Linked DNA regions of Rattus norvegicus. The protein of the gene in region 1 interacts with the protein of each later gene in a pairwise test. Links are inferred from orthologs where the notes say so. Each region holds a gene or a part of one and is shown in the gene's direction. Other genes may lie near its edges. The genes, in order: Creb3, Adtrp, Alg3, Tmem115, Bcl2l1, Use1 and Tm4sf4.

Region 1 (4,136 bases):
CCAACTTCTTACATTTTACCTGTTCAGCTGTAGCTGCAGCCTTGACTCTGATGCTATCACTAATTCCTAACATTAATCCTGACTTTATTTTGTATCCTAATTCCCTATATTTTGACACTTACCCCTTTCCTAGCACACAACCATACTAATCTGGCTTTTATTTTTAGGCCCAAATCCCCTAACTTTAACCCTAAATACTGCCCCTCTCCCCAGTCCTAAAGCTCATTTCTACCTTGATTCTTAATTCACCTTCTCACTGTTTATTCTTAATACTGACCATGACAATGGCCTTTAATCCCTGAAACGAGCTTCTAAGCCAATTCCTGTTGTTGATCCTTAACCCGATCCTGTACACTGACTTATGCTGGTCATTCCAGAAAATAATGACCTCAGTTTAAATGTCACAAACACGAAAGAGACTTGACTCATGCATGTTTAAAATGTAGTCCAGCTTCTTAACTTCTAATGGGATCCTTGCTTCCTAAACCCGACGCACCTAACTCAAACTCACCCAAAGTTTTCCTAACCACATACTCACTATCGGCTAACACCAAAGCCCATCCCCGCCCAATGCCTCACTGCCACCCCATTTCTACCCGTCCCAAAAACTATCCGAGACAGAGAACTGTCTACTCCCGCGAAAAGGGCCTGTCTCTCGCAACACGGCTGGCTTAATTTCAAACCTAAACTGAAACGTACTGTACCCTGACCTCCCCAACCGGACACAGGATATGCAAGAGGATTGGGGGCCCCGCCCGCCGCTTCCCGGGCCGGCCTGATCCCGCAGCCCCACCTAGAACCTCAGCCCAGCCCGTCCGGCCTACCTGCGCTGCCCAGCTCTGCGCCCCGCCCTGGGCCCGCTACCCGCTCGTTCTCCCGGTCGCTTTGGGGCTCCGGCCTCGCCCTCCCTTCGACACACTCTCGTCCACTTCCGTCCTGGAAACGTCCCCCACCCGCCGGCGGTCCGCTCTATGGTCGCAGAGACTGCAGGAAGCTGCTCTGGCCGCAGCTCTCGATGCTCGGGCTCCCGCGAAGCCTGGCCGCCCCTCCCCGGCAGGAAGCGAGGGTGCAGAGCACTGGAGAGAACGCCCGAACTAAACGGGAGTTCCCTTTTAGACTCTTAGGGTTTTTTTAATAGCTCGCGGCGAAGGCGGATCCGGATCCTCAGAATCCCCGCCCTGGGGCGTGGGAAGCTGAAGGGACATCCCCATAATTTGCATAGCCCCTGGGACGTGGCGCACTACACAAGCCACTTCCGAGTTGGAGGGAACTCCAAGTCCCAGGATTCCACGGGACTATGTGCATCACTTCCGTTATGTTGGACGCTGAGGGGAATAGAAGCTGAGAGGCGGGTGTGGCATATAGAGTAACAGCTAGGCCCTGGTCCGGGAGTGACTAAGGTTAAGTCGATGCGACTTGACAGACTGAGGGGTCGTGCCTAAGGTTCGGAGATTGGATCTGCGCAGAGGAGTTTCTATCCATAAATATTCCAAATGGATCCTGGTGGTCAGGACCTGCTAGCTTTGGATCCTGGTGATCAGGACCTGCTAGCTTTGGATCCTGGTGATCAGGACCTGCTGGGCTTCCTGCTAGAGGAAAGTGGAGATTTGTGGGCTGCGACTGAGCAGGACATAGAGACTCCCCTGGACTTGGAGCTGTCGCCTTCCGAGGTGGGTGGGTGTTCTGAGTGGGGAAGCTAGCGATGTCCCTGAGACCCAAGGTACAGAGATAAAACAAGGCCTTTGATTTTGTTAGAACTCCGTGCAAGAATTGAGCGACTGGGAGGTAGAGGATTTACTGAGCTCTCTGCTCAGTCCCTCGTCATCGCCGGATGTTCTCAACTCTTCTAGTTCTTCTATTCTCCATGATCACAACTATTCCCTTCCACAGGAGCACGTCTCCATAGATCTAGGTGAGTGTGAAATGTTAAGTTATGGGGAAAGAGAGAGCTCACTGAACTTGCTAGCCCTACTTTCGCTTTTGCAGATCCTGGGAGCTTTGAAAAGGAGGGGTTCCGCATGAATCCATTGCGTGTGGAGGAGACAGCAGCAGAGCAGGTACTGGGCTTGGTGTTTCAGGATTACCTCACTTTGCAGCGGCCAAGAATCCCCCATACTGCTCTGACATCACCATGCAACTCTGCTCTCTTCCTCCAACCTTAGGAACTTTCTACACTGATACTGACGGAGGAAGAGAAAAGGCTTTTGGAGAAGGAGGGGCTCACTCTGCCCTCAACACTTCCTCTCACTAAGGTAAGGCTTCTGGTAGTAGAGCAAAAGCTGGAGGGGGATTGTATAACCCAAGTAGGCAAACTCAGTTTATTTCATATCGATCACTTACAAAAGGACTGAGGTCAGAATGGAAGCTGATAGTGGGAACCTGGGACGAGCAGATACCAGGGTAGATCCTGGTCTTGTGGCGCTGATATACATTTTGGCGTTCCTTTCAAAATTATCAGTGTATGGCTTTGTAGGAAAAGGCCTTGCTTAACTCCCAGGACCCACGTGATGGAAGGAGAGACCCCCATGTACAAAAGATAATTTTTTTTTTTTGTTCTTTTTTTCGGAGCTGGGGACCGAACCCAGGGCCTTGCGCTTCCTAGGTAAGCACTCTACCACTGAGCTAAATCCCCAGCCCCAAGATAATTTTTTAAATGTAGAGTAACTTTAGAACAGAGCCTTGAAAGGGCCTTCAAATGATGGCCTTGACAGATTTCGTTGCTATCTTGGGACTTCGCCTTTTGCTCAGTGGTAGAGTAGATATGCTGGAGAGGCTGAAGCAGTCTAACAACAATAGTTGTTACAAAGCTGTAACAAAGTTGTAACAAAGCTGGACTTGAGGGGCTCACACTGCCATAACCCTAGAGGCAGAGGCAGGAAGGTCCTCCCACGCTCAAGGTCACTTCCCAAGTGAAAGCATACTGCATCTAGTTTTTGTGCCCCTTTTATTGTCTTACTTCTTTTGTTATGTATGTACTGACTTATTTGGGACAGGTGGATCAGGAGTTAAAGGCCAGACTTCGCTTCATGTTGAGTTTAAGCAAGCCTGGCCCACATGATAAACCCTCTCCTATCCCTCTCCTGCCATTACGAGATGAATGAGCAGTATAGTAGTTAATAGGAAAGAAAATGGAGTTTTGGAATTATCAATAGTGGCTCCGTCCCTAGGACAGTAACTGTCTTGTCCTCCTTTACACTGGCCAAAGCATACCATAATTCTCCTACCCCTGGGATTGGAATATAGCACCTCTGGAATACTCACCAAGTGCTCTACCACTGGCTACGCCCTCCAGCCCTGGTTTGTAAGGCAGGGTCTTGTAAGCCCAGGCTGGGCTGGCCTCACACTGTGTCGTAGGTAAAGAATGCCTTTGAATTCCTGGTTCTCCTGCTTCTAGCTTCCTAGGACCAGATTACAAGTGTATGACATCACTCCTGGCTACTGTCCAGGTTTGACAAGCATTATCAGAGACTATGAGAGTTAACTTTATTCAGTTTTAATTTCTGAAAAAAAAAGAGTTTAAAGTACTTAAGATAAAGATGTTCTATATCATTCTAGAGAGCCTAGGAAAATCCAATGGGTGGAAACTAGAAGATTGATGTGGGTTTAGGATAAGGATGGTGGTAGTTGTTAGTTCTGAGACATAGTCTTCTGTAGTTCACTCAGTCTGTCCTGAAAACTACCCTAACCAAGGATGGTCTTGAAATCCTGACCTCCTTCCTCTTCCTCCCAAGTGCCGATATTACAGGCATGTACAACCACACCTAGCTTAGGAGGAACTTTTTAAATTAATTGGCAGCTGTAAAGATGGCTTAGTGGTTTAGAGCACTTTCTGCTCTTCCGTGGGGCGTGAGTTCCAGTCCCAGCACCCACATGGCAGCTCACAATTATCTGTAACTTCAGTCCCAGGAGATCTGTCATTGTCCTCTAGCCTGTGTGGGCACCAGGCACACACATTATACATATACATTATACAGACATGCAGGCAAAACACCTATACACATAAAAATAAGAAAACTCTGGCTTTTAAGTGCTGGACACGTGTCCTGTGGAGATGTCCACACAGAAGGTGAATGCCTATTGGCAGAAAAGCTGTGGAGAGAATTTCATTGGGAAGGTTAGCTGCCATCCAACACACC
Region 2 (3,500 bases), on another chromosome or scaffold:
AGGCAGCAAAGGGCTGAGTATCTGGAACTGAAGTATCTGGAACTGCAAGAGTATCTGGAACTGAAACTAGGGCTGAGAGCTATGTGAGATGGGGAGAAGGCTGGAGAAGAAGCAACTTCTGATATCCGTGTGCAAATGACTTCATACTCAGAACTCTACAGCTCGTGGGCTTTGAGCCAAAGGCACCAACAGTTAGGGCTAAACATTCTTCAGGGAACCTCTGATAGCATTTAGAACTGTGACTCTTTCCCTCCTTCCCACACCTACCCTCTGCCCTTGGGAGGCCTCCTCCTCCTAGAGGAACCTTTGGACTCTCACCCAGTCTGTGGGTCTACCCCAGAATCTGCCTCTGTGACCTTGAATAAGCCTTGCCTCATCCTGTGCCTCACCTGAGGTAACTTCCTGGCATTTGTTCCCTGCTCACAGTTCCCTCAGCAATTTCATTCCACCTGAGAGGACTGACTGACTACCTAGGTCTTCTCCCAGCCTCGTCTCTCTGTAACCACTTGATAGTTGTATTTCCAAGAGGAGGTTTTACTGGACAGGTAGGCTTCAGTCTCGGATACCTAGGATCAGCATTCCCCAGGGGTATGGCTAGGGAAGAAGGCTCAGCTGGTCAAGGGCCTGAGCACAAACACCAGAACCAAACTTCCATCTCCACCATCTACATGTAAGGCTAGTCATGGCGGCATGACCTTGAAATCCCAGCACAGAGGAGCTGAAGACAGACAGGTCCCTAGGAATTGCTTGCTCACCAGCCTAGCTGAGGCAGAGAGTCCCAGACCCCAGTGAAGAACCTATTTCGAAACCCAAGATAGATGTTGTCTCCTGACCAAGGTTGATCCCTGGCTAACCCTACCACCGCATACCCAAAAGAAAACAGAGCAATCTTGGGAAGATTTATAAACCCTAATACCTGAGCTGTGTCCCCTTAGGCCCATTAAAGGGGTAAAAACAGCACAGTGTTTTTGTTTTTTTGTTTGGTTGTTTTTTTGTTTTTGTTGTAATTTATTCTCCTAGCCATATAGAATTGTTTCTCCTCAATTCTGCTCAGGAAATCTGATGTTTCTTAATTCCGGCTCAAGAACCAGAAGCCTTGGGTTATAAACTTGCAAGTTTATTAATCTCTCTTTAGCCCATTTTTCACATCTTTAAATGGAGCTGAGAGATTAATCCTGACACATCACTAGGACAGTTGGGAAACACAAGCGAGTCTTGAGTCTGGCATAAAACAAGCCAGGACCAAAAGTCAACTGGAGTCAACTGTTGGAGTTGTGAATCCCTGGTAAAGACCATGAAGGATGGATGTCTAATCCAGAGGGTTCTGCCCACCCAAGGACCCCATAGAGTGCTTGTTAAAAAATCACCGCTTACACCTCCTTCTCAGGGGCTGTGATTCCAAAGTCTGTGGGCAGAGAAGAGTCCCAGCTTTCTGGGAAGCTCCAGGCAGTGCACTTTCTGCTGGTCTGAGAACTCAGCTGCCAATCATGGATCATTCGTTTCTCCCCATCCCCCTCCTGCTCATTCCTCAGCCTAGGGAGTGTCCTGAAGTTAACTTTAGATCCTTGCTCAAGTCTAAACTTCAGACACTGTTCTCCAACAGCCAGCTCAGATCAATTATTAACCCAGCTCCCCGGGTCCCATAAATCTCCCTTCTCATACTCTAGGCTAGAATCCAACAGCCCCTCACATGCCAAGGCAGAGCCTCTAAGAACTTATATGACTTCTAAGGCAAACATACTTCGAATAAACCCAATCTTTGTATAGCCAGCACCCACCAGAGCTTAAATTAGCAGCCATAACATTACACAAAACACACAAGGCTTGATTTCTAGGCCCTGCTTACTATCCTGAATCCAAAGATCTGACAATTGACTCTAAAAATCAGAGTGTCTTGGTCACAAGTATGATGTTGCAAATAGAAAATTTCACACAATCTAACTTGATTTCATGCACGAATCATTATTAAGAGTATGGTACAAGGTTACCTTCAAGCTATTTTTAAGAGGCGAACATAAAATATGAATTAATTTTGTTTGCATGCATGAATTCTCTCTTCATTATGAGTCAATATTCTAAAATCTGGACAAAGAAATCCTCAGTCCAGAGTACTTCTAGTGCCAAGCATTTAGGATAAAAGGCTTCAATCTTGCTGACGTGAAAGGGGTTCTACTTCTCTCCTGCTTTGCTTCAAGCACCTCACAGAACTCAGCAGCTGCCACAACTCCTGCACTTGCTTCCTGGATCCCATGATTTAAATCCTTCCAATTATCAGATGGCTTCCCTACAGCCTTCGGGCAGCGCCCTGTAGGTAGGGGCTGTACTGGTTTCTCACTCAGAGTACGGTGTCATGATGTGCACTTTCTTCAAATGCCACAGAGCTCCATCCTGGTGTTCATGACCCTCATTATGACTTTCTCAGTGAGAGTTCAGTGCGTGTGTGTGTGTGTGTGTGTGTGTGTGTGTGTGTGTGTGTGTGGTGTATGTAAAAGAGAGAATATGTTCATGCATTCATGCGTTTATGTGCACATGTGTGGAGACCAGAAGCCAACTTTATTTCACGAGTTTCTTTCTTTCTTTTTTTTTTTTTTTGTGGAGGTGGGAGGGTGGGACACCTTTCTCTGCCCTCACCCCACAGTGCTGAGGTTACAGAGTTACAGACATGTGCTGCACCCCATCCTGCTTTTACGTGAATACTCGGGATCTGAACTCGGGTCCCCAGGTTGTAAAGTAGCCATTCCACTGACTGTTGTTTCTGCCACCCCCTAGGCTTTTTTACCTCCATTATCTTTCCCTAGAAGGGACTCCCGACCATGTCCCACTGTGCCTAGCCCTTCACCCTGAGCTGTATATTTGGTTCTTACCTCTGTGCAGCTACGTATCACAGCTCATTACTTTCTCTGTTTAAACTCTATTTTGTTTCCATTTTAGCCGAAGACCATTAGACTAAATACTGTACACACTATTATCTCCTAAATGAATTTCCTCAATCAGTTTTAGTGTGCAAGGGTCAAGGCCCAGTGAGCTGGAATCCCAGCCCTCAAATTGGCTCTGCACCCAAACAACCCGGCATCTCCTCCTCCTCAGGTCCACATTGCTCCCAGAGGGCTGCAGCCCTCCATCAGGGAAGGATGTATTAATTAAAGCCAATGAAAACACTCATTTATTGTAATGAATTTAGCTCTTGCAGGCCGTTTTCTTTGGGGTCGCCTGCCTGGATGATGTGCTAAAAAGAGTCATCGGAAGGAAAGACATCAAGTTCATCACCTACTTCAGAGATCTGCTTTTTACTACGCTGGCTTTTCCTTTATCCACAGTAAGCGCCCAAATGTTTGTCCAACACCATCATTTCATACAATGGATGGATGCTTCTCTTGGAGCAAGGTGGTCTGGAGACTGATTGCTATAACCAGAGCATCTACATTTCCACAGTTTCTGTCTCAGAACTGACTGCATTGGCTAGCATCATCAGGGAGTGGGGTAGTTAGCAAGTGAGGTTA
Region 3 (4,149 bases), on another chromosome or scaffold:
AATGTTGGGACTTGAAGTAGGTCCACAGAGATGTACTCTCCGGTGTCTTAGGCTGTCTCCAGTGTCTGGGGCAGGGTAATGCCCCTCGCTGAGACACCAAAGGACTGTTTTTTTTTTTTTTTTTCCAGAGTCCTGACGATCTCTTATTTCTGTTTGCCCTGGCTAAATACAGACGGATTCTGAAGGTACTGGGTCTTGGCTCCAAACTGGGGAGTCCTGTATAAGAGAAAGCAGAAGGGAAGAAAGCGGATATGGTCTGGCCAGCGACCCGTGGCTGGGACACTACCCACCTAGCACGAGGATACGGTCCTCAGGACACAGCTCCGGCTCTAGGAGGGCACGGAAGGAAGCGAAGTCCCCGAACCACTCGTAGGGTCCGGAGTCGGCCGCATCTTTGTAGCGCTGGTCCCAGTATTGGACTTGGCGGTACTGTAAGTTCCTTTCGGGTAACTCCGGAGGGGACACAGGAGTCCGGGGAGAGGCCATGCTCCCGGCTGCCGGGCTGCCAGGGCGGAGCTTAGGAGCCCAATCACCGAGGTAAGAAATGGGAGGCGGAGCCTGTGTCTCCGCCCCCCCCCCCCCCCCCGCAACCCTTGCAGCTGCTCCACACAAACACGTGGAACTTCCGTCATTTTCTGAGCTCTTTTTTGAAAATCGTCCGGCTGGAAAGCTGAATTACTTGTCGTCTTATTAACGTACTGCCCATCTCAACTCGACCACATTTCCTCGTGGCAGACCAGATCTGGTCACCAGATGTGACCAGGCTCATCACTGGCGTCCTCTCGTGTTTGGTTCTCAATAACCCTTTCAATTAAGAGGCGTGATTAATTAAAGATCCCCTTCTTCCCAAGATTTTTGGCGCACCTTCGGGTACTTCGGAAAGGCGGGAGGAATGCTGAAAGGAGCTTTCCGCTCTAGCGTAAACACAATTACTCTGGATATAGGCCGAGTAGAAAGCTGGGCTTGGAGAAGAGAACAGAACTGTTTTGTTTTCTGGACAAACACTGATATAGTGGCGTTTATGCGCTCTGGACGGGACATACACCGAGAAGTATATGTATATTTATATTACAATATCGTGTAGATGTATTCTAAGGACTAGCTATCTTACCCTTATTGAGGTCCACATATCCACATTAGAAATATCTCTCACCACTATATATAAGAAGCACTAAATATGTATCCAGTGAATCATTTTGACCTAGAAACTTCAGCGCCTTGAGTCGATTTAGCAGACTGCTATGCAGTAAATAAGAATTCTGGTTACTCGGATCGTTTGAGAGGACGCCCAGAGCGGAGACCGGAACCTAGTGTCTTAGGGTTGGTTTTCCCGGGTGGTGGAAGCACAAGAGTGGTGCACTGTCAAGATGGCTGCTGGGCTGCGGAAACGCGGCCTGCCGGGTTCTGTCGTCCAGCCGGCAGGAATCTGGAAACAATGGCTACAGCGGGCCTGGCAAGAACGCTATCTACTGCTGCGGGAGCCTCGCTACACCTTGATGGTGGCCTCCTGCCTCTGCCTAGCAGAGGTGGGCATCACCTTCTGGGTCATTCACAGGGTGGCATGTGAGTTCACCGAAGGGGAGAAAACCGGAGGGAGGGAGCGATACCCAAACCTCTGAGCCAAACTAGATTACAGAGCTTTCGTTCACCATTCAAACCTATATCCTTTACCCAACCAAGCCCACTTTCCAGAACAGCGATCATAAGCTCTCTTCCATATGGGAGGGAGGTGACCTTAGAGATTACCACCTGCATTTAACATTCAGCCTGCTAAGAAAGCATAAGCAGCCGAGCAGTAAATTTCGGCCAGGATTAATGTGCTATTGCTGTTCCTGCTGCTTGTCTGTTCCCTTAGACAGTCACTTCCCACGCCAGATCTGATTTTCCATACTTTTAATTCTTAGATCCTGGAAGTCCTTTTAAAGAATGGCATTTTGTGACTATTTGAGTCCACTAGGTACTGGTGTCTTCCAGAATCAGTTTGTTTGAAAAACAAAAAGAACAAAAACAGGGTCTCTCTAAGTATCCCTGATTGGCTTAGAACTTGCTATGTAGACCACAGTGGCCTCAAGCTCACAGAGATCTGCCTGCTTCTGGCTCCTGAGTGTTGTTGAGATTAAAGATGGACACCACAACTGGCTTCATAAAGACCCTGTTTTTAAAATGAGAATGAGGAATATTCAAGAAAGATAATCAGAATTAACCTCTAGCTTCCACATTTATACTCACATGCATTCATACTCACTTATGTGTGTGCCCACACATGTGCATATGAACACACACAAGACAAAGACAGCAAGCCTATTTCCTTTTAAGAACTAAGGAGCCGGGTGGTGGTGGCACACTTCTTTAATTCCAGCACTTGGGAGGCAGAAGCAGGTAAATCTCTGTGAGTTTAAGGCCAGCCTGGTCTATACACTTGAGTTCCTGGACAGCCAGACAGCCAGGGCTACACAGAAAAGCCCTGTCTCATGAAACCACAGAGAGAGTGAGAAAGAGAGACAGACAGACACACAAACTGAAAAGGAGAGAAGTACTACTCAATACTTGAGGAACACAGCAAAGAGACTAAATTTGCAGTAGGAAGAAAGATCATAAATTCAATTCTACACATTGAGTTTAAGACCCCTGTATTCATGGGCCTAAGGAGATAGCTTAGTGGGTGGTATTTACCATATAAGTGTGAGACCCATAGTTCAGATTCCTAGTATTATACATAAATGCCAGGCAGGCTTGGTGGTCCATTTGTAACCACGGCATTAGAGAGACAGGACAAGGGATCCTTGAAGCAAACTGACTAGCTAGACTCTGTTATAAGTGATGGAGGAAGACACCAGTGTCAACTCCTGGACTTCCCATGCGTGTGTACACAGACACACACGGAGTATATGGGTTCACCCAGAGAATGCCCTATGTGCAGTTAGATAAGGGATGGTGATGGAAGAAACCTGGGAATAAGGTAGAACTCTGGGCTTTGGTGGTCTGAAGGCATGGGGTTTAGAGGTAGACCAGTTCTGGACTCAGAAGGAACAAGACCATGTTATCTTCTTCCAGACACAGAGATTGACTGGAAGGCCTACATGGCCCAGGTGGAGGGTTTCATCAATGGCACATATGACTACACACAGCTGCAGGGTGACACCGGACCTCTTGTGTGAGTGAGGATAGGAAGTCTGAAGAAATTGTGAAGGGCCGGGTGGGTACCAGGCGGATGACCCTGACCTCGGCTCATGTTTCCTCTCGCCTTCCAGCTACCCAGCTGGTTTTCTGTACATCTTTACGGGGCTTTACTATGCTACGGACCGGGGCACTGACATCCCTACGGCCCAGAACATCTTTGCTGTACTCTACCTTGTCACCTTGGTGCTTGTTTTCTTGATATACCACCAGACCTCCAAGGTGAGTTGATGCTGCAGGACCAGCTGGCCCTGCCTGAAACGGGTGGCGGGGACAGCTCAGGTGTGGGGAGCTGATCTCGGTGCCCACCCTTTAGGTGCCTCCCTTCGTCTTTTTCTTCATGTGCTGTGCCTCTTACCGTGTCCACTCCATCTTTGTGCTGCGGCTCTTCAACGACCCGGTAGCTATGGCATTGCTCTTCCTCAGCGTCAACCTCTTCCTGGCGCAGCGCTGGAGCTGGGGCTGCTGCTGTTTCAGGTCAGAGCCTCTTCCTACCCCCCACCCCTCCCTCACATGTCCATAGCTCCCCGATGTTCTGCAAGGAAAGCCATCGAGAGCGGTTAGACACCGCAGACCACTCTGGGCCTCCCTGAACAAGTCCAGGATCTGTAGAGAGGCCCTCTTTCCTCTTGCTTTCTTCCTGTTTCGTATGTCAGTCAGTACGTGTCCGGTTAGTCTGGACAGAGGGACCAGGTATTATTCCTCTTCCCAGCCTCCTCTCAGGCCATCTTATGCTCCCCTAACAGTTCTGGATGGAGACCACATCCTGGCACTTAATAGCCTGGGGAGAAATTCTTGGGAGGTGGGTGTTGTTCCGAGGGCCACACAGTCCTGGAGCTGATCCTCCGCCTTTCCTGTCCTCTGTCCATTTCAGCCTGGCCGTCTCGGTGAAGATGAACGTGCTCCTTTTCGCCCCAGGATTGCTATTCCTTCTTCTTACTCAGTTCGGCTTCCGTGGCGCCCTCCCCAAGC
Region 4 (3,931 bases), on another chromosome or scaffold:
AAAATAGCTTTTAAATAAATCTCAAACACCCTGCTGATAACCACTGTAAGCGTAAAATTGAGCCTAGGCCAACCTGGCACTTACAGAGAGACTTATAAATAATCTTTTTTCTTTAATGTTCATTGGTGTTTTGCCTGCATGTGTGTAAGGGTGTCAGAAACCCTAGACCTGGAGTTACAACTATGAGCTGCCCTGTGGTTGCTGGGAATCGAACCCGGATCCTCTAGAAGAGCCGTCAGTGCTCTTAACCGCTAAACCATCTCTCCAGCTCAAGGGAGATTTCTCTGGCAAGTGGAATCAAGTGGGAGAAGAGTCACTGAAGCAGCACAGCCTTGCCCCTTATTCCCCCTGAGATGGAAAACCTAAGTTCATGTAGCAAGTACAGTTGGCTGGAATCAGGGCAATGTGAACACCCAACACAACATGGCAAGTCGTTTACATAGATAGCTGCCTTCTTTGATCCTTAAAACTATAGTAAGAGCCTGCCATCGCCATCATTTTTAAAGATTCATTTATTTATTATATATAAGTGCACACCAGAAGAGGGCATCAGATCTCATTACAGATGGTTATGAACCACCATGTGGTTGCGGGATTTGAACTCAGGACCTCTGGAAGAGCAGTCAGTGCTCTTAACCACTGAGCCATCTCTCCAGTCCCCATCATTTTTAAGGTTCGTGAAATTGCACTTCAAAAATGTTCGGGAACTTGATCAATATCACATTAACTACAAATGATGGAACAAGGGTTCTGGCCTGCCTTGGGCTCCATTTGCCAGACGACAGGATTTCTGGCTAGTTCACGCGCATTGATACAACACATCAGAACCGTTCACATTCTTTTGTACCCGCTTACAAAAACATTGCTGTACCTGTACAAGTCACAAATAGAGCCAATCTCCTCCTCCAAAGAGTGCAGCAAGTGTGCGGCCCAAGGCGGCGCTGCCTCTTGAACCCGGCCACTCAATGCCTTGCTTTCCGAGATCAGGAATACTGGTCTCCACTTCCCTAACTTCTAAGAACTAGAGGAATAAGCACTGAAAACTACAACTCCCAAGTGCCCTAGCCTCTACATTCTACGAGACCTGTTCCGTGCACGGCTTCTGGGACTTGTGGTTCTATGCCAAAACCGGTCGGCTAGGTCTCAAGGACTCCGTATCCCAGCATGCCGAGGAGCCGGAAGGCAAGAGCTCAGAGGGCGTACAGTCGCGGCCGCCGGCGGGGGCGCGCAGGCGCGGCGCCCCTGTTTGTCCGCCCCGGAGAGGGGAGGAGGTACCGTCAAGTCAAAACCTTAGCCCAGCCGGAGCTAAACGGGCTTGACTTGAACTGGAACAAGGCATCAGTCCCGGCAGATCGCAGAGTCTCAGAGTGGATGGAGGAAGCCCAGCCTTGAGATCAACGCTAGCCTGGCCGCTGGGCCGACGGAACCGGCAGACAGGCGTGCCCAAGCCACCCAGGGCCTAACGTCAGGTCCCCGGCAAGAAGGCTTTCTCCTCGCTTTGGAACTACAGCCGGATCAGACCGGAACCAGAGCCGTCACACGGAACAGAAGCCAGTGAAGTAGCCGGGCCCGGGCCTCCCGTCGGGGCCGAACTGGGACGAGGCCCCGGGGAGGCCCCTAGGCCACCTTCCTCACCTTCCCTCAAGCCAACGCCCGCCAGGAAGATGCAACGCGCCCTGCCCGGTGCCCGCCAGCATCTGGGGGCCATCCTGGCCAGCGCCAGCGTGGTAGTGAAGGCACTGTGCGCTGTGGTACTATTTCTCTATCTGCTTTCCTTCGCTGTGGACACGGGCTGCCTGGCCGTCACCCCAGGCTACCTTTTTCCACCCAACTTCTGGATCTGGACCCTGGCCACCCATGGGCTCATGGAACAGCACGTGTGGGACGTGGCCATTAGTCTGGCCACAGTAGTTGTGGCCGGACGATTACTGGAGCCCCTCTGGGGAGCCTTGGAGCTGCTCATCTTCTTCTCGGTGGTGAATGTGTCAGTGGGGCTTCTGGGGGCCTTCGCCTACCTCCTCACCTACATGGCTTCCTTCAACTTGGTCTACCTGTTCACTATTCGTATCCACGGCGCCCTGGGCTTCTTAGGTGGTGTCCTGGTAGCGCTCAAGCAAACTATGGGAGACTGTGTGGTTCTGCGAGTGCCCCAGGTCCGCGTCAGCGTAGTTCCCATGCTATTGCTGGCGTTGCTGCTACTCCTCCGGTTGGCCACACTGCTCCAGAGCCCGGCATTGGCTTCCTACGGCTTTGGGCTGCTATCAAGTTGGGTGTATCTTCGCTTCTATCAGCGGCACAGCCGAGGCCGAGGGGACATGGCTGATCATTTTGCTTTTGCCACCTTCTTCCCTGAGATCCTGCAACCGGTAGTGGGACTGCTAGCGAACTTGGTGCATGGCCTCCTGGTGAAGGTGAAGATTTGTCAGAAGACAGTGAAGCGCTACGATGTCGGAGCACCATCGTCCATCACTATCAGCCTCCCAGGCACAGACCCTCAAGATGCGGAGCGGAGAAGGTACTAGGAACTTTTCCAAATTCTTGACTAGCTAGACTATTGGTGTGGCCACATAACCAGGCATTGAGGTGTTTGCACTACGTAGGCTGGAGAGCCACGGACAGGTGTTAGGGGTGGCTTCGACAGGTGTTAGGGGTGGCTTCCGAAAAAAGGACTCAGGTTTTGGCCTTGAGGGAACTCAGTATGTAGGTTTTTGGGCTCTAGTGTGTGTTTCTCATAACTTGGGCCACTTAACCTGTCTGCAGAACACCCAGTCACCTTTGGTCTTGCCTCAGGATTTCCAGATTCTAAGCACTGGTTCTGTGAGAGACAGAAACTGTTGGCCCTTTTCTCCTGTGATAGGAGATGGGGAAGGATGTCTTTGTCCTTAAAGTCTTTCCCATCTTTTTTTTTTTTTTTTTTTTTAGTTCTTTTTTTTTTCGGAGCTGGGGACCGAACCCAGGGCCTTGCGCTTCCTAGGCAAGCGCTCTACCACTGAGCTAAATCCCCAACCCGTCTTTCCCATCTTAATGCAGGACGGTTGGGGTATTACTAAATTCACCCCCGTTTCAGACGTGTCACCAAATAGAGGGAACAGGCCGTATGACCCACTGCAGGAGCCTACTGACCACACGGGGCAGGTCAGAGGCCTTTGTGTTACCTACCAGGCAGCATCTGTAGTTTTACTACATTACTCGCTGGGCACTTTGGCCAAAACAGGAGAAAGCTTTTTGAATTCAGGCCTTACTTTCTGAGACCTGTGGACTCTTTACAGTGTTCCCAGCTCCGGGGAGATCCACAGTTCTGTGTCCAGTGTTACTCCTGAGACTGTCCAGGAAGTTTCTCAGCAGCCTTATTCCTGAGCATTTGTCAAAGGTCCCTGCTTCTGCTCACCTGTGAAAGGGGTTCCTGACCTCAGTGGAAGAGCTCTCTGCTTCTTCTCCACTGAGACTGTAGAGCTGAGTGTGGCCCCTTCCTTGAAGGGGTTACCAGTTGGTGGGTGTGGGAACACAGCCAGGGCATGCTGCAGGCCTGATTCTGGGCCCACGACTTGAGTGTTGGGGGAATGTCCTGGATACGACTCCATCTCGACCTTGCTTAATAGGGGCAATGGGCTGGGGGGCTGAATTTTTGAGGGACAAAGCTGCCCTTGAAGCTGTTCAGATGGGACTGGGCCAGAGCTTGCCCTTGTCCCAGAGAGAAATCTTGCATTGTGACAGTTGGTTGGTCATTCAGAAAACCTCTATCCTCGATCAGGAAAAGGAAGAGTGGGAATTGGCCCAAGACGTGGGTTTCCGGCCCAGTCTGAAGGTTGTTAGCTCACATGGGGTGGCTAATACTCTGCCATACAATTTGTCGTCCAACTGCATGCCACTCTCAGACCTAAAGGACTACAAGGAGAAAAGAGCATTCCACAGAGGTCTCTGACCCTGTGAC
Region 5 (4,096 bases), on another chromosome or scaffold:
TGGTACGTTGTGGACATCTGCACACCAGGAGGCTGAGATCCCAGTAGCTCTCAGTCCACAGAAGCTGAACTGCTGCTATGAGTTCAAGGTCAAGGGCAGCCCAAGTTAAACAGCTACATAACTAGACCCCGTATAAGAAGAATGAACTTGCCTCACCAGCTGAGGATGGGAGTTCCACTCCTGAACACGATTTACTCCTAAAAGTTGTCCTCAGACCTCCAGATAAACATGGTGGCCCATACACACCCACACTCACGTGCACATACCCCAAAATAAAATAAACTTTTGAAAAACTGAGTTACTGCTAGAGTTATCCGGTAGAAAGCCTGACTACCATGCACAAAGCTCTGGGTTTGATCCCCAGCAACACAAAAACTGTGTATAATAGCGAGACAGAAGAGGTGGCTCAGTTGTTAAAGGCTGGGCTCACAAACAAACATATGCTACATAGTTCGAGATGGTGTAAATAAATGTCTTTCTACTGCACTGGCCAGCCAGAGTCGGGGTTTGCATTTTTTTTTTTTTTTGGTTCTTTTTTTCGGAGCTGGGGACCGAACCCAGGGCCTTGCGCTTCCTAGGTAAGCGCTCTACCACTGAGCTAAATCCCCAGCCCCGGGGTTTGCATTTTTAAAAGGATCATTCACTCATTCACTCTAAAGCAAATCTCGTTTCACCATGATTATCACAATGTCAGGATTTTCTCCCCTTAGAGTTTACCTTGCGTATTTTCCTAGTTGGATATTGCCTCCACCCCTAAGGTATAAGTCTTCATAAAAACAGAGACCTTGGGGTTGGGGATTTAGCTCAGTGGTAGAGCGCTTGCCTAGCAAGCGCAAGGCCTGGGTTCGGTCCCCAGCTCCGAAAAAAGGAAAAGAAAAACAAAAAACAAAAACAGAGACCTTGCCTTGCCTCGTTCATAACCGTCTTCAACAATCCAAAGGCTTTCTAGTCTTCAGACTTTTCAAGTAATATCGATACACAGTCAATGAAAGGTCAATGCTGCTGTCTATTTGTAAAGTGAGGGGGGGAAATACACAAGTTGGGAAACCTGTCCGATGTCGGACACCCAGGAAAAAGCACTTTTTCTGTAGTATACAAACGGATAGATGGATGAAGGAACTAGATTGATGGAATGTGAACCATTAGCGTTCCATGCGCCTGCGCTTCCTCAAATCGCTCGCCAGGGGGCGCTGCTCTCCCACGTCTCAACGCCAGTCCCTCCTGGCGCGCACTCCTTTTGCGTCTCGGGCTCGCGCGCGCTGCCGCGGCACCGGAAGTGACTGCGCTTGCAAGTTCCCCCGGTCTCTTCAGGGGAAACTGAGGCCGGCTTCTCCGGGAGATTCGGCACGAGCAGTCAGCCAGGTAGGCCAACCCAAGTCCGCGGCGTACTTCCCAGCCGCAAAACGCCCTCGTATCTGGAAGCCACTGGGCCGATGAAGGGGGGATGTGGCCCCCCACGGCTCGCTGGGCTCTCAGGTGAGGGCGCCGCCTCCCCTGTGCCTGACAGGCGCTTCGCCCAATGGGAGCCTTGGCCGTCCCGCTTCCGTGCCGACTCGACCCGCGGATTGGCTAAGCTGGGGCGGGCCGCGGGGGCGAGACCCCTCCTTCCAGAGAGGTCTAGGGGGCGCCCCTGAGGGAGGGCGGTTGCCTAGCAACGGGGCGGTGGCTCGGCGGGTACCCGGCCTAGGGGAGCGCGAGCAGTAAGCGAGGCCTCAGCCCACCCACCCGGGGCTCCAACGCGTAGCGGCCTCCGGTCCTGGAGCCCTGCAGGGGGCTCCAGGAGGCCGCCTTGGGTCGGGTCTCAAGAAAACGAGGTCTCCGCTGTGGGAGCCTCAACCCTTCTTCCTGGCCAGTGGCGGGGCTCAGCGCCTCCCTCTCACCCCGTCTTTGTGCGGGGTGCCGGCGGCCATTGTGTCCGGGCGCGGAATGGAGGACCTGGCAGTCCCCCAGTGCTATGTCCAGAGCCTTTGGGGAATTCAAAGACAACTAGCGGTGTTTGTGGGGGGTCTCCAGCCTACTCCTCTTGGAAAGGCCCGGGAGTGGTCTTTCCGAAATCAGATCGCAGATCCGAGGCCGTCTCCCCCTCCCCGCGTCCCTGCGCGAAACCTTGAGATTCACTGAGAAGTCCCTTTAGGGTTTCGGAAGCCTCATCCAGGGCTGGTACTTAAATAGAAAGAAAGAAAGGAGGGGTGGGGGGAAATTACACTAAACCCATACCTCCGGGAGAGTTCTCCTGGCTCCCAGTAGGAGGCGAGAGCCAAGGGGCGTGCTAGAGCGAGGGGGTTGGGCTCCCGGGTGGCTGGAGGCTGCGGAGCAGAGAGGCCGCCCTCGATCTGGGCGATGGAGGAAGCAAGCGAGGGGGCAGGTTCCTAAGCTTCGCAATTCCTCTGGCCTGCCTACCAGGTCGCATGATCCCGGCCGGGACCGGGGTTTTTTGCTGAGTTACCGGCGACCCAGCCACCACCTCCTCCCGACCTATGATACAAAAGACCTTCCGGGGGCTGCACCTGCTCTCTGTCGCCGGAGATAGATTTGAATGTAGGTGGTGGTGGTGGGGATGTGCCAATGGGGGTGACTTTTGGAGAAAGGCATTTCGGAGAAAAGGGGGTGGGTGGTTGTAGTAAAAAGAGGCTGATGAAACAATTCAAAGCTTGCTGGTCCTTTCAATTTGACTTCATTGAAGTCTCTTAGAACCTGGACTCAGACCTTCATAAGAGCCACAAAGAAACCAATTCTGGTAACTGGGGGAGGAATGGGGATTTTGTAAGGTAAATGACATGCATATTAAAATTTTCTCCTGAAGCTCTTTCTCTCTCTTCAGAACCCTATCTTGGCTTTGGATCCTGGAAGAGAATCGCTAAACACAGAGCAGACCCAGTGAGTGAGCAGGTGTTTTGGACAATGGACTGGTTGAGCCCATCTCTATTATAAAAATGTCTCAGAGCAACCGGGAGCTGGTGGTTGACTTTCTCTCCTACAAGCTCTCCCAGAAAGGATACAGCTGGAGTCAGTTTAGCGATGTCGAAGAGAACAGGACTGAAGCCCCAGAAGAAACTGAACCAGAAAGGGAGACCCCCAGTGCCATCAATGGCAACCCATCCTGGCACCTGGCGGATAGCCCCGCGGTGAATGGAGCCACTGGCCACAGCAGCAGTTTGGATGCGCGGGAGGTAATCCCCATGGCAGCAGTGAAGCAAGCGCTGAGAGAGGCTGGCGATGAGTTTGAACTGCGGTACCGGAGAGCATTCAGTGATCTAACATCCCAGCTTCATATAACCCCAGGGACAGCATATCAGAGCTTTGAACAGGTAGTGAATGAACTCTTTCGGGATGGGGTAAACTGGGGTCGCATTGTGGCCTTCTTCTCCTTTGGCGGGGCACTGTGCGTGGAAAGCGTAGACAAGGAGATGCAGGTATTGGTGAGTCGGATTGCAAGTTGGATGGCCACCTACCTGAATGACCACCTAGAGCCTTGGATCCAGGAGAACGGCGGCTGGGTAAGAACCACGCCCCTTGTGTGTCCGCCCCTTGTGTGTCTCTCCTCTGTGGAGATCCCTAACTGCCCTTTTTGGTCTCCTGGCATGGTTGTTGAAGATATCGATTATTCAGGAGACATTCCTGGCTTCACTTTAATACCAGGGGTTAACTTTGGGAATATTGATGACCCTGTTTTTAAGGAACCTGTATTTTTCATTCTGGCTACCCTTGTGGCCCCGCAGTTTCATAGTTTTGTTCCAATTTCTCGGCAAAGAAAAACAGCCTGTGTGTTTACTTGGCTTAAAACCTAGGAGAGTAGCAAGTTCTCCCTGTGTTCTGCTCACTCTCACGTAATGGGTCACCTTGGCTGGGGGGAGGAATATAATACCTGGAGGAACTGCAGAGCTGATAACCCCAGGCTCCTGTGTGCTCGCATGCATGCTATTCAGACCATTTGGTCAGGCAGGAGCCCCACTGGCTTGACTGGCTGAATATTGTCTGATTTTAGAGAAGGTGGTCTGAGCCAATTGTGTTTGTGCTGTGCCCCTAAGTTCATTTTCACCATGGTTGGCTTGTTTGGGGAGCCCTTGCTGTGCCCCAGGACTTTGTACCTCACTGC
Region 6 (4,300 bases), on another chromosome or scaffold:
CAGAAGAGTTCTTACTGTTCTCTCAGAGGACACAAGGTTTCTACTGCTGTGAAAAGACATCATGACCATGGTGACCTTTATGAAGGAAAACATTTTACTTGGGGCTGGTACACCGTTCACAGGAGCTGGTTCACAGGAGTTTAGTCCATCATCGTCCATGACGGGAAGGATGGTGGCACTCAGGCAGAAGTAGCTGAGGATTCCACATCTGAATCAGCAGGCAGCAGAAAAAGGACTGTATGCCAGTAAGCCTAGTTTAAGCTTTTGAGATCTCAGAGCACACCCCGCCCCATGGTGCACTTCCTCTGTAAACCACTGCCTATGGGGCTCATTCTGATTCAAACCACTAGCAACAAGGTTCAACGACCAGCACCACAAACCTTAGAGTCACCATAACTCCAGTACTTGGGGTCCAGTATCACTTTTGTTTTTTAAGGTTTAAATAGTTCTTTAGAGACATGATTTCTGTGTAGCCCTGGCTGTCTTAGAACTCTGTAGACCAAACTGGCCTTGAACTCAAAGATACACCTGCATCCGCCCGAGTGCTAGGACTAAAGCCCCACCCCGACCCTGCCCAGTTAAAATGTATATGTTTGTGTGTCTGTGTGTTGGTGTGTGCATACGAAAGCATGGGAAAAGTCAGAGGTGTCAAATCCCTGGAATCACGGGAGGTTAGCATCTTTTGTAAAACTGCTCAGGACTGAGACAAGCTTGTTTTACATTTCTAATGCTCAGAAGTCACATGAGAGTGAAGAAAGAGGTGCTCAGTGGCTGAAAGCACATACTGCTCTTGCAGAGAACCTAGTTATTAGCTCACAACCACAGTAAATTCAGCTCCAGGGAATCCTAGCTTGTTTACTAATTCACATGGCATTCCCTGAATTTCTCAAGGGCTACATTCTTCAGGAAGTACAATATTCTCCATCTTCCGGGCCTCAACCCTGTAACAGAGTACATTTAACCTAAGATGAAGCAGAGTTGCTGGTAGCTAAGGAAGACGGGGGCCATGGACCATAATTTATGACAGAAGAGTGGAAACAGCCAGGTCAGAGTTCGGGATGCTGGCAGCCAGGACTGGAAACTAGCAAGTTGGCCAGATGAAAACGTCCGACTGGCACCTCATCAAGCAGGGTCGGGGGAGGCCCCATGTCAGGGCTCCCGCCTCAGAGGTAGAAAACATGCGCACTGAGCGCGGAGGCGAGGTGAACAAGCGGAATGTAATGGTCGGCGAGCAAAGATGAGGAATGGCTTTTCCGGTCCTGCCGTCCAGTTCTTGCGGGACATGATTGGTTGTTCAGGGTCTGGATAGGCTACAGAAACTCTGCTTCAAAAAATGAAAGAAGGCCAGATATCAAGCCACAATTTTAAAAAGAGGCTCTCTAGGGACGAAAACGACTTATCTTTGAATAAACTGCGGCTTGAAATAAAACTCCGCCCCATGCGTAGCAGGGCGGACCTCGGAGGGGGAAAAAAAAAAACCCACGCAGGCACTTCCGCCCCTTTCTAAGATGGCGCAGGCGGAAGGGGCCTGTCACCGTCCGCTGGCGACGTCGCGGCTGGAGTTGAACCTGGTGCGGCTGCTTTGTCGCTGTGAGTCGATGGCGGCCGAAAAACGAGAACCGGACGAGTGGCGTCTGGAGAAGGTGAGGGAATCCCACGCCGCCGCAGAGTCCTGGAGCCCTAAGGGCGGGTGATCTAATCCACAGGCTACTGTCTCCGCCCCTTCTGGTCGGCGGCGACACGCCCCTCGTGCGTAGACCCCTGACGTCCCGGTTTCTCTCCCTACGGCCTCACGCACAGGCCACGCCCTCTCGATTCTACGTCTTCGCCTTTGCCCCCTCCCCTCTCTGGCTCCTCCTCTCCCGGTCCCACCCCTCTCCCTAGTTTGCTCCTGCCTTGGGGTACTGGCCTGGCTGACGTTGTACCTTCCTTCCCAGTATGTGGGTGCCCTGGAAGACATGCTGCAGGCCCTGAAAGTCCAAGCAAGGTGAGTGTGGGGGACCGAGACGCCTCCTCCCACGCTGCCACAGCAGCAGGTTGACTTTGTCCTGCTGCTTTTCAGTAAACCGGCCTCGGAAGTGATCAGTGAGTACTCCCGCAAAGTGGACTTTCTGAAGGGCATGCTGCAGGCTGAGAAGTTGGTGAGCCTGCCCTCCCATCCCTCAGGCGGGCCTCACTCAGTTTCCCACATCTCCTAGGACCAGGACACACACACCCATACTCCCCCAGTAACTTATTTTCCCCTTCCCGTGTCTCCTCAGACCTCCTCCTCTGAAAAGGCTCTAGCTAACCAGTTCCTGGCTCCTGGCCGCGTGCCCACCACAGCCAAGGAGCGGGTGCCTGCCACCAAGACTGTACATTTGCAGTCTAGAGCACGTTACACCAGTGAGATGCGGAGTGAGCTGTTGGGCACGGTACGATTCCCTCCCTCGTCCCTGGATAGCTAAGAGAGTAGTTTTCAGAGGGTTAGACTGGAATAGTACCACAAACCCTAGAGGGCCACAAACGATGAGGCTCCCCTAGGAAACCACTGTGCTCAAGAAGAGTGGTTGGCTGGGTGGTGATAGTGCATGCTTTGAACCCAGCACTCAAGAGGCAGAGGCAGGCAGTGAGTTTGTGAGTTTGAAGCCAGCCTGCTCTACAGAATGAGTTCCAGTAATCAGGGCTACACAGAGAGACCTTATCTTACAAAAAAAAAAAGAATGGGCCATGTCTGGTTAAACCCCAGAGTAGCAGAGTAGGCCCCACAGCTTACAAGAGTCTGCCCAAAGCACAGAGAGAAAGGGAGAGAGGGAGGGAGGGAGGGAAGGAGGGAGGGAGGGAGGGAGGGAGGGAGGGAGGGAGAGAGAGAGAGAGAGAGAGAGAGAGAGAGAGAGATTGATTTAGAAAAGACATCAAAATATGCATGGCCTCATTCCTCTTCTTCCTTTAGGAGTCCTCTGGAGGTGAGACATGCAGGACACGACTGTCCCTGCCACCCCGCAGCCCTCATGCCTGCCTGGTTCCCTTGTTCTTTCCCAGCCCAGGAAGAGTCCCCCAGGGTCATGTCTGAGTTATGCCTAAGGGGAAGCTGAGAAAGAGAGGGTGGTCCCCAGCACAGTGCTAGGCCACTGAGAGGGACCTGGGGCCAGGGTACACAGTTCTGGAGCGTGGGCAGCTAGCAGCTTGCACGCAGAGCAGCCTTCTGCTTAGCCGGGTGGCACAGCTCAAGGCCGGGAGTTTGGAAACAAGAAAGCAGCCATCTTCTTTGTTCTTGGCCTCTTTTGCTTCCAGAGCTGGAGGCAGACATGAGGAAGCGAGTGTGAGTATTCGGCCCCTGGCGTGACAGGGAAGGGAAGTGAGTGGCTGAAGCTGGGGCCCCTGAGTTGCTCTAAGGACCAGCTGCCTGCTGGGAGTCCTTTCTGGGGCTGCGGTTCCCAGACTGTGAAAGAGCAGGGGAAACTGAGTCCCCAGTAGAACTGAGGGTGGTGCCATGGCCCTGGGATCCTTGGGAAGTGCCATGTGGATGTCTATATCTCCCTGTCACTACTGGGGATCCACAAATGTGGGGTCAGCAGTGTGAAGGGGCCTAGACCTGCAGATGAGAAGCAGTCAGCGTCCGAGCTAGACCTCGTCCTCCAGAGGCACCAGGGCCTCCAGGAAAAGCTGGCTGAGGAGATGCTAGGCTTGGCCCGCAGCCTGAAGACCAACACACTGGCTGCCCAGAGTGTCATCAAGAAGGACAACCAGGTGTGGTGACATTGCAGCCTCTGCCTCAGGGCACTAAGAAAACTCTGCAAAAAAGGGGCATTGTGACTGGTGTTTTGCTGGTTGAATAGGAGTTTGATAAAGCCCAGAGGGAGGGGGTTGGCTGAGTATACTTGGCCGAGGGCACAACATGGGCCAGAAGCACAGGCTACTCAGAAGTCACACTTGGTCTCAGTCCTGTTGACACAGTCCCTTTTCCCACAGACCCTGTCACATTCGCTCAAGATGGCAGACCAGAACCTGGAGAAGCTGAAGCTGGAGTCAGAGCGGCTGGAGCAGCACGCACAGAAGTCGGTGAACTGGCTGCTGTGGGCCATGCTCATCGTCGTGTGCTTCGTGTTCATCAGCATGATCCTGTTCATACGCATCATGCCCAGACTGAAATAAAACAACACCCGCCCGCCAACCCGCACGCCTTCAGTGCCAGCGCGGGGTGTGTGTGAGAGAGAGAGTGTGCAAGTGAGTGTGTGCGAGTGCGACTGTATATGTGTGTGTGAATGTGTGAGTGTGTGTGAGTGTACGAGTGTGTGTGTGAGTGAGTGTGAGAGTGACT
Region 7 (3,933 bases), on another chromosome or scaffold:
ACACACACACACACAAATACTCATTTGTACTTGAGATTTTGCAGGCATTCAGTGACTACTTCCTTTTGTTTTCTTGTCTCACACTGACCCCGAGTTCTCTCAGTGGGTATTCAGGACAACCAAGGCACATTTTGTAAACTCTCCAGGAGGAACCTCAGTGTCTGCCTCCCCATAATCCTTCCCACATCCATTTCCCCTGGACTGTGGTCCCAGAGACTTGGCAAAGCATAGTCCACTGTTTCCTTGGTCATCTCTGTCAAGGAGCAAGTGCTCCATGACAGTTATGAGTCAATTGGGTTCTGTTGTTTTGTTTTTAGCAACAATTCGAGCCCCTAAATACCTTACTTACTGTCATCAGTTTTGACCTCTAGACTGTCAGTAAGGAGCTAGACAGGATCTGTCCCCACCCCCATCCCATACTGCTCTGGCTGATTCATCACACAATACCCGGATAAGTCAGTGCATCATGTGGAGCTGGTGTAGGTGTGCCTGAGACATCCTAAGAGACCTAAAGCAAGCCAATAACGCAACTGTGCTCCTGAACAGGCGGCCAAGCCTCCAGTGCGGGTGTATTTTCCTTCCTCCTGATTTCTAGCTGCCTCCAGTCTCATCCTCTCTGCCTCCATCAGCATCTAGCTTCTCCCAGGGCTCTCCTCTTGCTCCAGTACACACAGGTTTCTATTTCTGTAGGAAGTAACCAAACAACCCAATTAGAAAAATCGGTTTTGCTGATTCTATGATGTGGTGGGAAGAACGTGGTATTTAATTGCCTAATTGAGTAAACAAGTAAAGAAATACAGCAGTCAGGCAGTAAAGTAAATAGCTGTTCTGATTTTGTCCTTTAAAAATCCCAGACCTGAGTTTAGCAGTATACAATAAAGCCATGAAATTATTTTTCTATTAAGGAAAACAAGCCCATCTGGATATGCCGGTGTCTCAGGCTTTCCGTGAACAAGACCAAGGAAGAGCTGAGCAGATCACTTAGTGTTTGGGAGGCATAACGTTAATCAGGATATTAGTGGATTATGAGAGTGATGTAATACCTAGGGAGTACTTCTTTATTTGGGCAGAGACGTTATGAAATTAAAGGGGCAGTGCTGAACACTGCCTATCCCAGCCTTCTCTTCAATTGCAGCAACTCGAACATCTTGTCTGTGCTGGTGGATTATTAACAGAGGTTATTGGTCTCCATGGCAAAACAACTGAACGATCGCGCAGAACGTAATCTCATTTATGGGGTGCAAAAAAAAAAGACATTGGGTCAGGGATATAAATGCCCATTGCCACTGAGGGCCTGCTATAGTTCAGAAGTGACTCCACGGTTCAAAACGCTCTGACATTTTGGTCCCAAATTTCTTACTGAACCAGGTACAGCCACTGCAACGCGCTGCCAAAATCCCTGAGGAGTCCTGTGAAGCTGGTGGTGAGGAGCCTTTGATCTCTGTGCTTTACTGTGCCACCCCAGCATGTGTACTGGGGGCTGTGCCAGGTGCCTGGGGGGCACCCTCATTCCCTTGGCTGTGTTTGCCGTCCTGGCAAATATCCTGTTGTTTTTTCCTGGAGGAAAAGTGGTGGATGACAACAGCCACCTTTCGGATGAGGTCTGGTACTTCGGAGGAATACTGGGAAGTGGAGTCTTGGTGAGTAGAAAGACCTTAGTCCCACAAAGGAGAATTCCCCCACTTTCATCCGCTTCTCATTCAGTCCTTAGAGCATGGGATGCCATTCTGAAGCTAATAACCTTTTGTGTGATGAAAAGTAGTGCCTTAATATACTTCCCCTTTCTATTCGTGGCTGAGGACAGCTTGGTTTACTAAGTGGTTCACCCCTAAGCCTGGGCTGGAGTCACCCTAGGACATTTGAGCCCACAGGACCAAGCTAACAGCTACCTGATTGCTTTACTTCAGTCAGTCGTGGCAATAAGAATTAAAAACAGAACACGGTGCTTTATACAAATGGATTGACTTAGAATGAAGAGATGCAGAAGCTCTAGGTTAGCCCTCATTCAGGAATCACTGCTTCTTCATCGCCTTGTTTCCAATATGGGTGGGACCTCTAGCTCGTACTAGAGGGACTCACTTTCTATACCCTGAGTATAAATTTATCCTTGCCCTAAACGCACCCTGTAAATGAAAACTCAGCATATCAGCTCTTAAAATCTCCTCACAGAAGTTGTCCAAATGGAACCCCCATACTCAAAACCCCCTGTCTACCCATGAGCCATACCAGCTGTTAGGTCTTGCCTGCCCCCTTAAGCCCCTGAAACCTGAGGTCTTCACTAGCTAGAAAAATATGGGTTTCCCTTCATGCCAGACCCTCTAAGTGCTTCTCTTGCTGGCAGATGATCTTCCCTGCGCTGGTGTTCTTGGGCCTGCAGAACAATGACTGCTGCGGATGCTGTGGTAATGAGAGCTGTGGGAAGCGATTTGCGGTGAGTCGTTATGGGATCAGCTGGCAGAATAGCTGGGGTTCGCTGTTTGTGCTGGGCAGCACGGGTGTGCGAAACAAATAATCAGCCCCAGCCAAGACTCCTGGGTCATCTAGTATATGATTAAGCTCTAATTCCCACTGATCAGAATAATAAGAATAAAACATTAAATTCTACAGCCTTCATAGAGCTGAAGATACATTTAAGTTTTACAAGTACACGGAGATGCCAGAGCCTTAAAACCAGAGTGAGGCCCCAGAAGGAGGGCAAAGATAGAGCCACAGGTTTCCCTCTCTGGCTAACTAAAAAGACATGAGAACGTCACCAAGTCATATCCTTCTTCCAGCCCTCAATTGCCTCTTCACTGAAGGAGACCAGAGCAAGTAAAAGAAAGGGCACTCTTTATGGAAACTGTATTTCCTATTACCATTCAGAATCAGCCTCAGGATTTCAGCCTCTTCTCCTTTTTTCTTGTGGCCATCCACCTTTTTGTTGGTGAAGTGGAGACTAGGGAGGTATTAATGCTTCCAGGGGCGCAGAAGGAATGCTGGAATGTGAGTCAGGTCCCATTTCTGCAGCTGGGCAAGACACCAACTGTAAGATAAGCAAGTTGGACTGGATCAGAATTCCCTAGATATGGGCCAAACCCTGGTACAAAGATACACGTATCCAAACAACAAAGAATGTTTTCTTTTACTTATCCCCCAGTTGTTTTTATTTTATGAAGGAAAGAAATCCTTATTTTGATGGGGATAAGCCTTTGCTGTTTCTAAACCTTCAAACTTCCTTTGCAACAAAGGACGGACAACCCAAAGCTCTAGAAACTCAAGGGGCACCTGACAACTAAAATTTAATAACACCATCTTTGTGTTTGCTAACAATTTCAACTTTTTTCAAATTGTGATACAAATTAGCAAAACAGTTAGCTTAAAAACTATCAAGCATTTGGGTATGAGATGAGTCAGAAATATGATGGTGGTAGATCCTAGGTTTGATAAAGAATAAAGGATTCTCCTCTCCAGCTTCCCAGGATTCCTGTTCCCGTCAAGGAGACTCCCAAGCCCACTTTAAATTCTTGAAAGTCTGTCTACCCATTCTGAAATTCTTGACATCTCCTTCTCATAAACATTTGTTGATTTAGTACAGAAAGAAGGTATCTAGCAAGCACACATGAAGGGCTGCTGTGCTCAGTATATTATAGATACACTGCAGTTTCTCGTGTGACGTCACATCATTCAGAGAATATTCACCTTCTAAAAAGCCATCACGGATACTGAAAATAGTCCTTTCAGCATTCAGAATGATCATTTGCGAAGAGTGTCAGAAGTAGCGACAGTTCATTTGAGATAACTATGTGTTAAATGTTCTAAATACTAGATATTATTTTCATTTTGACTATAAAGGAAAGGAAGTGCTATATAACTCTTTCCCGTCAGAGCATTTATAATTTGTCAGTTTGGAAGACATACCAATTTGAAAACATACCAATTAAGGAATATGGATGA

Evidence for each region.
Region 2: the proteins of Creb3 (region 1) and Adtrp interact in a two-hybrid assay, tested with the Homo sapiens proteins (2 studies listed by BioGRID and IntAct). The two-hybrid records come from large-scale screens. The link is inferred for Rattus norvegicus from reciprocal best matches to the Homo sapiens genes CREB3 and ADTRP.
Region 3: the proteins of Creb3 (region 1) and Alg3 interact in binary tests that used the Homo sapiens proteins (3 or more experiments, as listed by UniProt). The link is inferred for Rattus norvegicus from reciprocal best matches to the Homo sapiens genes CREB3 and ALG3.
Region 4: the proteins of Creb3 (region 1) and Tmem115 interact in a two-hybrid assay, tested with the Homo sapiens proteins (2 studies listed by BioGRID and IntAct). The two-hybrid records come from large-scale screens. The link is inferred for Rattus norvegicus from reciprocal best matches to the Homo sapiens genes CREB3 and TMEM115.
Region 5: the proteins of Creb3 (region 1) and Bcl2l1 interact in a two-hybrid assay, tested with the Homo sapiens proteins (2 studies listed by BioGRID and IntAct). The two-hybrid records come from large-scale screens. The link is inferred for Rattus norvegicus from reciprocal best matches to the Homo sapiens genes CREB3 and BCL2L1.
Region 6: the proteins of Creb3 (region 1) and Use1 interact in a two-hybrid assay, tested with the Homo sapiens proteins (3 studies listed by BioGRID and IntAct). The link is inferred for Rattus norvegicus from reciprocal best matches to the Homo sapiens genes CREB3 and USE1.
Region 7: the proteins of Creb3 (region 1) and Tm4sf4 interact in a two-hybrid assay, tested with the Homo sapiens proteins (2 studies listed by BioGRID and IntAct). The two-hybrid records come from large-scale screens. The link is inferred for Rattus norvegicus from reciprocal best matches to the Homo sapiens genes CREB3 and TM4SF4.

Annotation. Positions count from the first base shown.
Region 1 is NC_086023.1:62,612,316-62,616,451, forward strand, and holds the start of Creb3 (cyclic AMP-responsive element-binding protein 3), read left to right. Parts: upstream 1-1,336; 5' UTR 1,337-1,493; coding exon 1,494-1,670; intron 1,671-1,755; coding exon 1,756-1,912; intron 1,913-1,986; coding exon 1,987-2,057; intron 2,058-2,162; coding exon 2,163-2,252; intron 2,253-4,136. UniProt on the Homo sapiens protein: Endoplasmic reticulum (ER)-bound sequence-specific transcription factor that directly binds DNA and activates transcription. Plays a role in the unfolded protein response (UPR), promoting cell survival versus ER stress-induced apoptotic cell death.
Region 2 is NC_086035.1:23,145,809-23,149,308, forward strand, and holds part of Adtrp (androgen-dependent TFPI-regulating protein), read left to right. Parts: intron 1-3,181; coding exon 3,182-3,316; intron 3,317-3,500. UniProt on the Homo sapiens protein: Hydrolyzes bioactive fatty-acid esters of hydroxy-fatty acids (FAHFAs), but not other major classes of lipids. Show a preference for FAHFAs with branching distal from the carboxylate head group of the lipids.
Region 3 is NC_086029.1:93,803,544-93,807,692, forward strand, and holds the start of Alg3 (dol-P-Man:Man(5)GlcNAc(2)-PP-Dol alpha-1,3-mannosyltransferase), read left to right. Parts: upstream 1-1,349; 5' UTR 1,350-1,367; coding exon 1,368-1,563; intron 1,564-3,054; coding exon 3,055-3,154; intron 3,155-3,251; coding exon 3,252-3,399; intron 3,400-3,493; coding exon 3,494-3,654; intron 3,655-4,051; coding exon 4,052-4,149. Other genes in the region: Eef1akmt4 (EEF1A lysine methyltransferase 4), read right to left, coding at 291-486. UniProt on the Homo sapiens protein: Dol-P-Man:Man(5)GlcNAc(2)-PP-Dol alpha-1,3-mannosyltransferase that operates in the biosynthetic pathway of dolichol-linked oligosaccharides, the glycan precursors employed in protein asparagine (N)-glycosylation.
Region 4 is NC_086026.1:117,084,975-117,088,905, forward strand, and holds the start of Tmem115 (transmembrane protein 115), read left to right. Parts: upstream 1-1,131; 5' UTR 1,132-1,664; coding exon 1,665-2,515; intron 2,516-3,931. UniProt on the Homo sapiens protein: May play a role in retrograde transport of proteins from the Golgi to the endoplasmic reticulum. May indirectly play a role in protein glycosylation in the Golgi.
Region 5 is NC_086021.1:161,761,976-161,766,071, reverse strand, and holds the start of Bcl2l1 (bcl-2-like protein 1), read left to right. Parts: upstream 1-1,296; 5' UTR 1,297-1,362; exon of another isoform or gene 1,363-2,737; intron 2,738-2,803; exon of another isoform or gene 2,804-2,821; 5' UTR 2,822-2,933; coding exon 2,934-3,497; coding exon of another isoform or gene 3,498-3,788; exon of another isoform or gene 3,789-4,096. UniProt on the Homo sapiens protein: Potent inhibitor of cell death. Inhibits activation of caspases. Appears to regulate cell death by blocking the voltage-dependent anion channel (VDAC) by binding to it and preventing the release of the caspase activator, CYC1, from the mitochondrial membrane.
Region 6 is NC_086034.1:18,071,664-18,075,963, forward strand, and holds Use1 (vesicle transport protein USE1), read left to right. Parts: upstream 1-1,500; 5' UTR 1,501-1,508; coding exon 1,509-1,643; intron 1,644-1,937; coding exon 1,938-1,987; intron 1,988-2,062; coding exon 2,063-2,141; intron 2,142-2,261; coding exon 2,262-2,414; intron 2,415-2,932; coding exon 2,933-2,945; intron 2,946-3,273; coding exon 3,274-3,301; intron 3,302-3,554; coding exon of another isoform or gene 3,555-3,557; coding exon 3,558-3,729; intron 3,730-3,951; coding exon 3,952-4,134; 3' UTR 4,135-4,153; downstream 4,154-4,300.
Region 7 is NC_086020.1:143,754,928-143,758,860, forward strand, and holds the start of Tm4sf4 (transmembrane 4 L6 family member 4), read left to right. Parts: upstream 1-1,133; 5' UTR 1,134-1,466; coding exon 1,467-1,640; intron 1,641-2,341; coding exon 2,342-2,431; intron 2,432-3,933. UniProt on the Homo sapiens protein: Regulates the adhesive and proliferative status of intestinal epithelial cells. Can mediate density-dependent cell proliferation.